Linked DNA regions of Arabidopsis thaliana. The protein of the gene in region 1 interacts with the protein of each later gene in a pairwise test. Each region holds a gene or a part of one and is shown on either strand. Other genes may lie near its edges.

Region 1 (6,225 bases):
TCCTATCAAAACTAGGAGCTTGCAATAGCCAATCTTCTAACAGTGCTGAGAGTAATCACAGTTTCTTTCATGCTGACGTAAATTCTTCAGGTATAAATAACAAAAAGCTTTCCGCAGCACCACTATTGAAATCCTCAAAAGTAGATTAAGATGACTCATCTAATTTCTCAATCAAGATTCAAGACTAAGTTCATGAAATTCTTTCCAGCCAATCTAACATGGAGATATATACTTAAAGGGTCCAATTCTTTTCAGATTCTCAATTGTATCTAAAAGTATCAAAACAGAAAAGGGAGTCATTCATTCTCCACATACCTCACTGACAAGGTTCCATTTCTTAAGCTGCTTAAATCTAACCAAAGTACCCAAAACAAGATCCCTTGGAAGACCTTGGTCACCGTCAGTTTTGTATTGCCTAAGCACCGGAACAGCAGAACCCGTCGATTCAATCTCTAGCATAAGCCCTCTCCATCTCTTCTGATCCGTCTCGTCAGCTGCATCCTTGAAAACCTCCATTTTCCTCCTCTTTTGCAGGAATTTCCTTGGAGCCAACATTCCCATACAAACAACTCTGAATCGGTTTTGGATTTTAACACCAACATTGATAATATTGTTCTGTAGTTTCCTCTGGCTGACACAAAGCAAAACACATGGACGAATTTGTAAATGAAAAACCAAAACTTTTAATAGCCTAAACGAAAAGAACATAAACCCTAGCAGTAGCTAAGCCTCAGATGATAAACCCATTTGGACACAGCTGCTAAAAAGCTTACACAATCAATTGAATTAGACGAAACCCAACACGGATTTTTGTAGAAATTTTGAAAGGCGGTCCCTTTTCCATAGAATTATCGAACCCGTCAATTGAAAACGAAAGAAAACTCAAGAACAAAAGCAAAGTCCAAAATGAAAGCTGTTCCAAAAAGGTTAAGAAGTAAAAAGTAGAAAGGAAGGAGAAAAGGAAACCTGTGATTACTTGATGGAACTGAAACAAACGGCTTGAAAATTACAGCCTGTGACATTTAAAGTTCGCAGCTTCTTCTCTGTCGCAGTAGCCGAGAGGAAGAAGAAGAAAGCTACTCTTCTCTTATCCTTTAAAAGTTAAAACTTCAAAGTGGATAATTTTTTATTTTTTCTTAATACTACTTCAAGTCTTCAATAGCATTATAAACCCTTTTTTAACTCAAAATTTAATTCAGTAATTAGAGGCGGGGTTTCATGGAAAATTGACAATGATGCCCCTCTGAGCACCTGCTATTTACACGGCCATACGACATGTTTAAGAGCAATTGCTGATTTGCTTCAATATTTAGCTGATGTGAAGAAGAAAGAAGACTCGTGTAGTCTCGAATTGTGTAAGGTAATGAACTAATGATTGCATCGATTTGTAAAGTCAGAAAGAAAGATGATCTTTTGTCTTTGATTTATATTGGTCCTTTAAGGATATGATACCAAAGAAAGGATAGGCTTTGACCATGCTGTGTAAAAGAAAGCTTCATTTGAAGTTTGCATTTGGCACTGATACTTAAACATAGTTCTTATATCAGATGGATTACATACTCCACATTGCACATTTGACTTCGACTAAAGATCTGAATCAGATTTGAAGGAAAAAAGAGTGGTATTGAATAGGCACAAGAGTTCCAACTAGTGAAATCTCATAAAATCAAATCTAACAATGTTCCCATATGGAGGTGATATAAAACACCTGAGGTTTAAATTACATACGGGAGATCAGAAGAGGGACAGAAGCAGGAGCTTCCTCTTCCATCTCATGTTCGAGCTCTCCATAGCGCTCAAGCACACGCATCCTGCAGTCTTCAGCTGCCAGCACTCCGGTTGAATAAGCACCGTGCACTGATCCCGGGTAGCTTGAGCTAGTGGCTTCCCCCGCAAAGAATAGATTATCCAATGGCACTCTCAGTCTCTCATAGAGGTCGTGAGGTTTGTTCACAATGTCATAGCTATATGATCCCAATGAATTGATGTCTGATCCCCACCTTGATACCAAATAATTTATCTGCCAACAGAAAACCCCATTAGAGCTTGTACATTGGCAAAACAATATAGCAACTCAGGTGAAAGAAAAGGTAGTTTGGAGCAGTACCGGTGAAGAGGCATCTGGAAGAATTTTCTGTAGTTGCGAAAAGGCAAAATTTGCAGCTGCTTCATCGGACTTTTTCTCGATGTCTCTAGCGAGCTGACCAGCCGGCATGTAAACAAGGACAGGATGGCTTGTGGCTTTATGCAGGTTCAAGAAATAACTGCATCCGTAGGAAGTTTCTGCAACGACTCCTAAAAACTCTACGTTTGGCCAAAAGACGTTGTCAAAATTCAATATGATCTTGTTCTCGATTCCAACACCGAGATCGTTGATAGCTTCTTGTTTCCACTGTGGAAGCTTTGGTTCGAATGTTATCATTCCTGACTTTAAGACTCCTAGAGGAAGAGCAATGACTGCAGCATCCGCAACAAACGTGTCTCCTTTCTCTGTAGTCACCTTCACACCACTGTAGCGCCTTGAAATCTTGGTAATTCTGACAAAACAAAAGTCCAATAAGGTTTTAGCTGCAGACTCGTTAAATGGTGGAAACTCCTTCGACAAATGAATCGTACCTGTGACTTAGTCGTATATCAAGACCTTTCGAGAGAGTGTTGATTACAGGGCGATACCCTCTAACCATAAGACCATGTCCACCGGGCAACAGTTCTTCCTGTGAATGTTTCAATTAACAAATCACTAAACGGGGACATACCTCAACCACTAAACCGAGGACAGACATAGAAGTTAAGTTACTAACCTGATCCCAACACTTTGCCGAGATGGTTTCAGCATCAGCAGCAAACCATCCTTCCATGCGGCACAAGTACCACTGAAGCACATTATGGGCAAGTCCCTCCAACCTATAAGTGAAAATCTAATTAAGCATGCAACAAATATAAAAGCGGATAAGTAACAAATCAACGGAATGAGTTGAGACAATATGTTTCCATACCTCAATTCAGGGTTCCTCTTAAATACAATAGAAAAGGCTTGAGCTATTGACATGTCTTCGTCCTGCTCATCCCTGACTTTACAGATCTGCATTTGTGAAACAACTGTTTAGTAAATCAAAGAGGCGCAACATCCATAAAACATAATAAAAGAGAAAGTGGACACCAAGTACACACCTCTTCCAGAATGTGCTCAAAATTTTCGCCAACTTTTGTCACCAACTCTTGAGAAACTTGGTTACCAGCCTTGTCGAACAGAGCATAACTGCAGAAAACATAATTGCGCCATGAGTTTCCAACAAAGAGAGAAGATTACTTAATATACACATTTAGAATATCCACAACGGTTGTACACACCTCTCAAGATCGTGATCATACAAAACCGAATTGTCACCGCTAGTACGATAAAGAGGTAATCCTAATCTACCAATTACTGCAGCCAAAGGATTCTCTTTACAGACACCATGCAACCTGTCACAAAACGATATTGCTTAGTTGGCATCGATGACAAAAGATCCAAACAGCAATCAGTGAAAAAGATAGGTTGAAGGAGCCATGATATTACCAAGATGCACCGAGATCAACTGGAAAACCAAATGAGTAATCAGTGTGAACTCGTCCACCAATTCTGTCACGAGACTCCAATACAACAACCTGAAAGGAAGCATCCTGAAGAGTGCGAGCGGCTGAAATTCCAGCCATACCACCTCCAATCACTATCACTGAAGGTGATCTCTTCTTCTTCATCTTCTCGTCTGTTGAGACGCAAATAGCTGAAACACCAACGCAACATATGAAACAGTTCAGGGCACAACAGAAAATAACAAAATTCGGATTCATGTAATATAACTGAATAACTTATTCATTATCAGACAAAGTATTAAGATTTCATAAAAAAAACAAAAATCATAAGAAGTAAAGATGATACCTTTACGCAGCTGACGATTAGTTTTGCCTCCGGACTCCATGATTCAACAATGAACGGAGTAATTACTCTCAAGATTATTAAAATTAGTACTACTATTACACAGCGATAAAGGATCTAACGATTTCTGCTCGAAAAGAAAGAGAGAAATCGGCAATTGAGGAGAAAAACTAAGAATTGAGATCAGAAGACTCGTATTAGTGAAGTAGCTTGCAATCGAAGGATTAAAACCTAGTTTTCTAAAAAAATTCATGCGATTTTCTCTTATCTGTTTCTTCCACAGAGATCAACGAAGATCAGATTCGAATGCGTAATTTGAAGCAAAACAATGAGAAACAAAATCAAAGAGCGATAGAAAGAGAGAGGCTCAGGAGTCGGGTCGCAGCTTTTTCTATTAATAATCGTGTTTGTTTTCAGAGTGCTGATTTGTAAGATGCTTATTGGTTGACTTAATTAATCACATTCTATACGTTTTTATTATTTTAGTAATTTTTTTCTGCTTCGCTTTAATCGGAAACCTACACGCTCGAGTATGTGATTAGGATAAACTCGCTCCTCTTGTAAGACACGTGTCACTTTAGAAGGACATAATCGGTAATTTGATTTCACCGTTAACTTGAGGAAACTAAAAATCGAGTAGGTATGGGACTCGCTAGTCGTTACGTACGAATCGTGGTGGAGTAAACCACGTTAGCGTTTTCCGTTTTTTGTATAACGTATGCGTTTTGAGCAGTAATATGGGTTAATGTTCATATTCATAGACCCAAAAAAGCCCATGATAATGTCAAATGCAGGCCTAGTCTATCCTTTTTATTTTGTTTTTCTGATGAACCTTGAGAACAAATATAAAAGTATTGACACATGTATGATCTTTAGGTTCCCAACACTTGATTGATACTATAATTCAACTGTTTAAAAATAAGTTATAAGTATGAGACTAACTTATTAGATCTCTATAATACATTTGACTTAGCTTTTATGCTTGCTTAGGCGACCAAAAATAAATAACAATCACCAACTGTAAGAAGAATAATTTCGGAGGAAAACTATATGCCAAGTCAGCCTATTTTACCCATATGAAGACTGTCGGTGGTCGCCGGTGCCGACAGTTGACTTTGCGGTCCCGCCGGAGATCCAAATCCCAACATGTCCGCTGGTTGTTGTTGCACGGTCTGCATCTAATTTAAAACATGACACGTCAGATATTAAATAAATATATTTGTCTTTCTTCAAAACGATGCCGTCTGCAACTGACCTGATTTCCCGCCGGCGGCATCTGGGGAATCCCGCCCATGTACCTAGCGAGCTGCTCCGATAAGATTTGGTTCTGTGCTTGGAGCTGCAACTGTACCGGGTTTTGACATACTAAACCGGGATGGTTCTGCGGAGCGGACCGGTTCATAACCGGGAATTGAGACAATTGCATCTGACTTTGCATAGCCATCTGATTAATGTATGGAGATGATTGTACCCCGGGAAACATCATCGGACTTGCTGCTGCTGCTGCCGCCGCCGCCATTCCACTTCCCATCCACATCACTTGGAGTTGCATTTGAAGTGATTTTAAGTAATCAATTGCTTCATCCAATATCGAAGCTTTATCTGTCTACACAAAAAAAGAAGAAGACAAAACCATATTTAAACACACCAATCAATTACAGCTTAATTAACTCAGTTTTTTTGTGATGAAAAAACTTACTCTGCTGCAGTGAGGTATGAGTTCTTGAAGAGCTTTCATTCTTTCATTGATCCGATCTCTCCTCCTCTGTAATTAATAGACAAAGATCACATCAGAATTATTATTACTGAATGGTTGATCAACTAGTCAGAAATAGTATATGTATACCCTTTCTGAGAGATTATGAACTTCAGCTGCACGGCTTCTTCGAGTAGATCCTGACCGTTGGCTCGATTTGTTACCCATGGTTTGATCATCGGTTGAGGTCAAACCTATATCTGATTGAGACACAGATTCTTGATCAGCATCCATAACATGTTTTCTTTTACGGTCAATGGTTACACTTGTTCCACTAACGGTTTCTTTGTTGTTCCTTCCATAGCTGCAACCGGAGGAGCCACCTGACGAAGTGTCAAGTCTTTCTTCGACGTTCTTGCTTCTATCACTCATAGAAACCGGAAGTGTAGTGGCCTGATGAATATTTGTTGACTGGTTGCTGCCGCAATGACTCGGTCCGACTGTTATAACCGAGGATCTAAACTTAGGAGGAGCCATGGCTTGAGCCTCATGCTTAACTGTCTCTTCGATCGTTCGTGGCTTCTCAGGACCTCCGAGGTGATCGATCGAA
Region 2 (7,641 bases), on another chromosome or scaffold:
CTTGTTTGCAGGATGAGCCATAGCAGTCCTGAAGTTGGGGTTTTGAAGAAGTTCAAGGAAATATAGGCAGTGTGGGTACCTGTAACAAGAACATAGGAAACCAAAGATATATTATCCAAACCTTCACAAGACTCTACAAGACTACACCAATTCCATAAGATATTCCAACTTACATAATGAACTTGATGTACTCTGGTCGCTGCCAGTATTGAAGATACTTCAAGTATCCAATAAATGCTTCATCTTCAAAATACCGATTCTGTGCCAGGTCTGCCAAACAGTAACCAAAAGCAGAATGTGGTAAGTACAAACCCTAAGCCTTAGAACAAATCCCTTTTTAAATCTCAATTTCGAACACTAAAACCCTAAGCCATAGAACGAATTCTAAACTTACAGTGGATGTAAGTAGGATTGGCGAGACATTGAATAAATTCAAGTTCCAGTAAGAATCGTTGCCTTCCACCGTCGGGATCCTTGTAAGTGTTTTTTGGCCTGTAGAGATGCGAATTAGATAATAAAAGAGCAGATTTGAAGAATATGAAAGTGTACAAGAGGAAGAAGATGCACTCACGGGGATGGAATTTCTGATGCATCATCACCCATCTCCTCTGGCGAAGCCATGAACGAACGGAACCTGAAGCAAATTTGGATTCTCCCAATAGAGGAATCAGACGGAGGTAGACGGAGGATTTTGGTTCTGATTTCTGAATTGAATTTTGGTTATAAACCAAAGGCCTAAACCGGTTCTGAATGCAAATAGAAAAAGAGATTGGAAAATTAGTACAAAATTACGGTTTAAGAAGCGGTCTTTTTTTTTTTTTTTCCACAAGAAGCGGTCTTAAAAGAACCGTTATACTCGGTAGCAGATGGAGAAGTCTCTGCCCAAACTTGGAGTTACTTTACATTCAAAGATTCACTTGGTGGCATTTTTAGTCATGTTATGAATCTCTTTCTTACTTATCTCAAGATTATGAATCACAAGGACAAATCTTGAATTTTGAAACATGGACCGGAATCTTTATGCAATCATACAAAAGTTTTTTTGTGACCAATCGATATAGATGTTGCAACTCTTTGTCATGCTAACTATGGTTGAGGATTATAGCAGACAGAAAATCTGAGGACATTTGGCTCCAATGAGTTGGCCCTCAAAAATGTATACTGTACATTGTAATGTTGTAATCCCCGCAAAATGTGACAGCTAAAAAGCTAGAGTTTCCCACAGTTAAAAAAAAAAATCAAAAGACAAGAGCCATCAGACCCTGGACTGACCTATGCAACTCCCAAGACAGTTTTCGTATCCAGCCTGCGTGCTGTACTCAGTTCTTACTTGCCAATCAACACCTTGTGCCAACTTGCCAAGACAAGTTCTGTTTCAGAAGTTAATGGCCTTCAAATTCAGGTGATGGCTTTACAAGTTTTCACCATAGCTTGTGAATCCCAATTGCTAAATCTGATGAGATGGAGACGAGCAGCGGATAAGAAGAGTGCCACTCGGCTTTGAACACTCTTTTCTTATGAGCTTTCATCGAGAGAGACGGGCTCGGTGCATTGTATCGGATATCAAAGATGTGGATCACGGGGTCTGCAGAACCAGATGAGATGTGTAAACCATCTGGAGACCAAGACTGATTAATTAGAGCCGACTGCGATTCACTGCTTTCTTGCTTCCACCCAAAAGAAAATAGTTCTGTCTGAGGCAATCTAACATCATACAACCGCAGTTGCCGGTCTAGCTGCCTGCAAACACAACACAAGCAAAAGAACGGACTTTAAGGCAATCGCTTCTTCTGGGATATATATAAATCAAGAGTCAGTTTTACCTCGTGTTAACCATGACAAGATTAACATCTCGCGGGTTTGGCATTATATTTGTGCATCTGTTGTCTAGTCTATGTTTAAATGTGACTTTTTCTTCTCGGGCATCAAACCCAACAAATCTCCTATCGTCTCCACATGACAAGACGTGATTGTTATGGCGCATTCCAGTAACTCCCATCACAGCCGACGAATGCAAGTCCCTATGCAGAAGCGTCGGCTTCCACGCATTATTCTCACACTGATCCCGCCATAACACTACTGCATGGTCACTCCCACCTGTGATGAAGCAAGGATCATCCCAAGGCGTAAACATGATTCTGTTGATAAGACCTTTGCTATGAGGCCTGTCCTCCATAAATTGCGACTCACATCTCTGCAGATGAACAGATATCCAAAAAGAAATGAGCACATAACTAACTTCCCCAAGGATAAAAGACTATAACCATCAAGTTAGATCTTACAACTAGTAGATAAGTCAAGGGTCGAATCAAATTCCCAATTATTCCAGCTATATTGATTTTTTTCTTTCTAACAGGTTATGAAGACCAAGTTAACTTTCTACAAGTTTAAGCACACACTCCACTCATGAATGTCCAATCGCAAATTTAATATGGTAAAACGCTAGAATGTGCTACAGCATTCATATACTTTTACCTCTCCAGCTTCATTCAGATATATGGCTGATATCTGAGGGTGACCATCATCTGCAGTATACACGGAGAAAAGTGCATTCTTATGTGGATGCCAAGCTATATCTTCTGCCCATTTCTTCTGATCTACTGCTACCCGATTAACCGTCTTAAACAAAGTAGCGGTGGACCTGCTCAATGGTGAAAGCATGATGGATAGGTTAGTATCCAACGAAATTCAGATTAAAATGTTCACGAAAATAAGAGTAGAAAAAATTGTACAAAACTCTATCTCTTAAGATCATGTACAACTAAACGTTGCAGCTTGTTGACAAATATAAGTGAAACTAAATTTCGCCTACTTATCACGTGGATGGATGAAGGTGATGTCAACTGGAACTAGAAATACATAATTAAAATTTCTGATACATATGAAAATCAAGGAATTCTATATGGATTTGAAGTTGAATAATCCAATAACCCCTCCTAAAACCATTTAAACCCCCAAGAAATCAGAAAGAAATATCATAATCAGTAGATCAGGCATATTTACAGGAGACTTACCTATCAGACTGAAGCTTCCAGAAATGAACAGCCCCATCCAATGCACTGAAGCATAACCAAAAACCAAAATCAAGAGAGGGAAAAGAAAAAGATTAAGCACATGAGTCGAGAGTATATTAGGTTAGCTAATTGACCAATGACTTTCTTGGTTCCATGATTCCCTCTTATGCATATAATATCATTTCCTTAGTAAAAAATCCAGACAAAGCCCCAAGCGACAGTTATGAGACCGAATTTCATCCAGGAGAATGGCAGATAATAATTTAGGTAGCATCTTCTATTCACTTTTGGAAAAGAGAAAAACATAAATAATGTAAAAAAGCACCTTGTAGCAAATAGCTCACGGTTGGAAGGAGAAAGAGCAAGACTTCTCATTCTTTTCGTGTGGCAACTTGGTAGCATGCCGGCAGTACGGCCTTCAATTGTGGGACGCAAAGAGCTTCTACCTATAAGTGCTATCAACTCATCATGTCCTCGGAATTCTGTAAAGAACAAAAGAAACAATAGATTCAGAGCAATGAGAAGGTAAGATGTGGCAAATCGACCAAATGAATGGCTTTTACCAGATTTTTCCTGTTGTCCTTGTTGAGAAATGTTAGAAGAAACTCTGATCCTTGGCTTTGCCAAATCCTTATTAGTGTGGTTATCTGGAGCTTGAGCAACTTCATTAGGAATACTACGAGATCTCTTGTCAAGACCACTTTTGTCTTCCTTTGGGACATTAGAATCCCTTGTAGCCATGGGCTGAGCTGCGTTATCTCGACCTTGGGATTCCCTCACCACTTCATCAGGAATACTCCGCAATCTCCTGGCCTCAGGGCCACTTTTATCTTCTTTTGGAACATCATAACCCCTCGTAGCCATGGGTTGAGTTTCCTTATCTCGATCTTGGGTTTCCCTTACCACTTCATCAGGAATACTACGAGGTCTCTTGGCCTCGGGGCCACATGTGTCTTCCCTTGGAATGTTATAATCCCTTGTAGCCATGGGTTGAGCTTGGGTGGTCTCATTTACTTCAGCTCTGACGGTAGCAGAAGCTCTTCGTTTAAAAGAAGGCGGTAAGATAATGGATGGCAATTTCAAGGATTCCATCTCACTAGGTGATTGTGGAGTAGAGTTTTCATTGGCAGTCTTCGTCTTATTTCCCTCGTTCCAGAACTCTGCTATACCAAGTATACTTCCAGTTTTACCAGGCGCTTTTGGTTTTGACTTAGAAAAGATACCATTTCCAACACGATCAATTTGTAAAAATTTAGCCTCCGCATCTGCCATCAGTTTTCTCTCTTCAGCAAGCTGCAGATACATCAGAAGTTTTAAGAAGAAGACCAAACAGTAAGACTCTCGCTTGCACATTCCAAGGGAAGATATACGCAGAACATGAGAAAACAAAAAGCTGGAAACTTTTGAGTTTCTATTAGGTGTCCTTTAAAATTATCAGCAAGAAGATGGCAATGAACTCCAATTGAAACGATAACAGAAAATCAAAATGGGAAAATCCTAAAAGCTGTGAACTAACAAATGCAAATGCCCAAATCAACAAAACTATACAATAAGCTGCATCGAATCTGAAAACTGCAAATGGAGATTAAATGAAACACAACAGAAATCAGCTACAAAAACAAATTGATCAAAGGAAACTTCTGAAATTAAACCTAGACATTTGAATACTGTAGAGGTGACTGAATATGAAAAGCTGCAATTTGCATAAAATTGAACTCAAATTGAAACAAGAAGAGCAACTAAAAACCCCGGAGAAACGCTACTTTCAGTGAAGTACACAATAAGCGATACAGATTCCAAAATCTGAAGAACACATCGCCGAATTAGCCAAACAAAGAAAACGAAAAAAATGAAGAAGAAAGAAGAGACCTTCCTATCCAAACTTGAGATTTGGTCTTTAAGGCGTTGGATTGATTTGGCACGCTGGTCCATAAACTCTAAAAGAGCTTCTCTATCATCTGGGATTTGAGTCGAGAACGTTCTCGCTTCTGCTTCTACTTCTACTTCTTCCCCTTGTTCAATTTTAGGTTTATTCATCGCCGTCGTAGCCATTGCAGACTCGGTTCGTCTTCTTCCCACCCTTTTATTCCCGCCCGATCGTGCGTAGTGGGGATTGCTTTTTCCCTCTCGTCTTTTCAATTTTGGAACCTCATGTTTTTAACTTTTCCGGTTTTGCCGCTTCACTTACTAGGGCTTATGTAGTCGTGTGCAGCTCCCGTGCTCTCATTGACAAAACCAGAGTGTGTAAAGTGTAAACACAGATTCGCAAAAATTCTTTGTGGAAAAAAAAAAAAAAAAAATCGCGTGTCCTTTTTTTTTGTTTATATTAAAAAAAAATCCTATAGTTTATTCGAGTATTGAGGTCTTTGACGGAAGCACAGTGATACATCTCTTAAACAAAACAACAAATACATGTTCAGTTACATTGGTAGCTGTGATTATTGTACTGAACATAAAAGAGACTGTGTTCTATGAACTTTTTTTTTTTTTTTTTTTTGATCAAAGTTTTCTATGAACTTAAAACTCTCATTTCAGCATACAACAAAATGAACAATTTAAGAAATAAAATCAAAGTATGTTTGTATACCAAATTTGGCATGCAAAAGGTGAAAATCTAAAACAGTCTAGTCAAGAAAACAGGTTGGTAGCTTCATCATTCAGAAAATGTACACAGAAGCAATGGAAGTCAGAAAAGATGTCAAGAGTATGGAGACAAAGTTCACACCATTGTTGTCAAGAATGTCCACACCTGAAATCTTCTTTACGGTTGGACCCGGTTTCCCTACAACCTGCACCATGCATAAATTCAGTCAACTACTCTTTTCCCTCGATCCTACATATGTATTTACATGTATGTTCTTTTAGACTTTACCTTGTTCCGGACAGAGCAGAAACCACTGAATTGAATGGTTGCTCCTAGTATAGAATCAATAAGACTCCCACATAGTCCAGCTAGTGCAGAGAGTGGTATGACTAAGAGTTGCTTTAGAGCTACATCACTTGCACAACTCGCGGTAAAGAGTCCGAAGATAAGGAATGTTAATCCAACAGTGGTGCCTGCTGCCAAGGCAGCTAAGAGTCCTGCCTTTGTAACTCCACCATTTGTGCCCTTCTTCACCGGCTGTGAGTGAGACCAAACGTTAAGCGAAACAGACAAAGTTCATTAGCGACTTGCAAAAAAAGGAACAGGACAAACCTTAAACGTTGTGATTAGTCGAGGCTGGGCATCACTAAGAACCCCAAGCTCTGAGGACCAAGTGTCTCCATTACAGCAGGCGTAATGACCAATGATCCCACCAATAAGAGCTGTTACAATTTCTGACTGCTTCGAGTCCAAACACTTGTCCTTCCAACCCGTTAAAGTACAAGCAATTACAACTAGAACTGAAGCAATTCCACTATTGCATAGCACTTGTACCCTGAAACAAGATATTTGAGGAATCTTCTGTCAAAACAACCTTTTGTTGGTCATAAATAACAACTTCTGAAAGTGAAATCATTTGCTAATATGTCAATGGAAAATTAATTTCATGTTACCGACCAACACGATGTTGAAAGTAAGACTAAATGCTATTCACTATAGACTCTCAAAGATCTAGAGTTCATTCCCCCTCCTTGATCAAAGACTCTCAAAGACAATTCACAATTTCAAAAATCGGAGCCTACAAAAAAACGAAGAAAGAAAGAAAGGAAATGTACCAGTTCCTTTGTCCACCTTCTTTGAACTCAACATCAACGCGTCTTTTTTTATCTTCGCCAACTTTGGTAAGTTTCGAGGAAGTAAGAAAGAATACAAGCAGCAGAGCTCCGTACCTTTCAGATTCAGCAGATTAATCCGATCAAACCCGTCGGGAAACGATTGAAAACAATTTCTCAACGAAAAAGATAACAGATAAAATCTCAAAAACAGGAGAAGAAACCTGAAACCGGCGGTGAAGTGAATGGTCATAACGAGGAATCCAGCAATTCCACCGGAGAGATCGAGCGACTTCCGCTTGTACGATCGGAAAGCGATGAGAGAAGAAATGATTACGGCGAAGATAAGTCTGAATTGCGGCGACGTTTCCATTTCTTCCAGTGGCGGAGAATCTGTTGACGACGAAGATTCAGTTCAGCGTCGGGGAGAGGGTAGTTGACCCCAACGTCTTCACTGATTTGATGTATTTCAAGTGTTGGTTACATGTTAGTTACGCAGGCTCGGACCTGGTCTCAAAACATGGGCCTCAAATGGGCTGACCCAATAGATTTGCTAAAACAAATATTAATCTAATCTAGACCATGTAGTCGTGGGCCATTTATTAGATTTGCGGAATGGGACAGACGAGATAACGCGGGAGAGAATCCAATCACCGATTGAGCTATGGGCCCCAGTATCGATTTCTACTATGACGTGGCACCACTTAAATCACAATATCCGTATTCCCTCTCTCTCTCCCTTTCTATCTGAGCTTCTCTCTCTTACTCTCTCCAGAGCAACAATGGCTGCGACTGCTTCTTCTCTTACAATCGCGTCGTCATTCTCCGAACCACGGACTCAGATCCATTCCTCGAGACGTTTGAATCTCCCTCTTCAATATTCAATCCCGTACAAGGTGTTACGGAGTAGGAGTAGAAGATTAGGACTCGT

What was found. The genes of interacting proteins can lie anywhere in the genome.
Region 2: the proteins of PAO3 (region 1) and AT5G19920 interact in a two-hybrid assay, tested with the Arabidopsis thaliana proteins (one large-scale study listed by BioGRID).

The regions. Positions count from the first base shown.
Region 1 is NC_003074.8:21,823,212-21,829,436, forward strand, and holds PAO3 (polyamine oxidase 3), read right to left. Parts: upstream 4,299-6,225; 5' UTR 3,963-4,298; coding exon 3,923-3,962; intron 3,768-3,922; coding exon 3,560-3,767; intron 3,466-3,559; coding exon 3,352-3,465; intron 3,260-3,351; coding exon 3,172-3,259; intron 3,083-3,171; coding exon 2,997-3,082; intron 2,905-2,996; coding exon 2,802-2,904; intron 2,715-2,801; coding exon 2,617-2,714; intron 2,538-2,616; coding exon 2,108-2,537; intron 2,021-2,107; coding exon 1,721-2,020; 3' UTR 1,485-1,720; downstream 1-1,484. Other genes in the region: AT3G59040 (Tetratricopeptide repeat (TPR)-like superfamily protein), read right to left, coding at 316-708; PIL6 (phytochrome interacting factor 3-like 6), read right to left, coding at 4,978-5,097, 5,175-5,525, 5,619-5,684, 5,766-6,225.
Region 2 is NC_003076.8:6,732,201-6,739,841, forward strand, and holds AT5G19920 (Transducin/WD40 repeat-like superfamily protein), read right to left. Parts: upstream 5,297-7,641; 5' UTR 5,067-5,296; coding exon 4,884-5,066; intron 4,308-4,883; coding exon 3,578-4,307; intron 3,497-3,577; coding exon 3,340-3,496; intron 3,060-3,339; coding exon 3,015-3,059; intron 2,642-3,014; coding exon 2,476-2,641; intron 2,195-2,475; coding exon 1,824-2,194; intron 1,741-1,823; coding exon 1,422-1,740; 3' UTR 1,011-1,421; downstream 1-1,010. Other genes in the region: MED31 (SOH1 family protein), read right to left, coding at 1-79, 174-270, 395-492, 572-621; AT5G19930 (integral membrane protein (Protein of unknown function DUF92, transmembrane)), read right to left, coding at 5,672-5,803, 5,887-6,135, 6,211-6,433, 6,714-6,827, 6,935-7,083; AT5G19940 (Plastid-lipid associated protein PAP / fibrillin family protein), read left to right, coding at 7,493-7,641.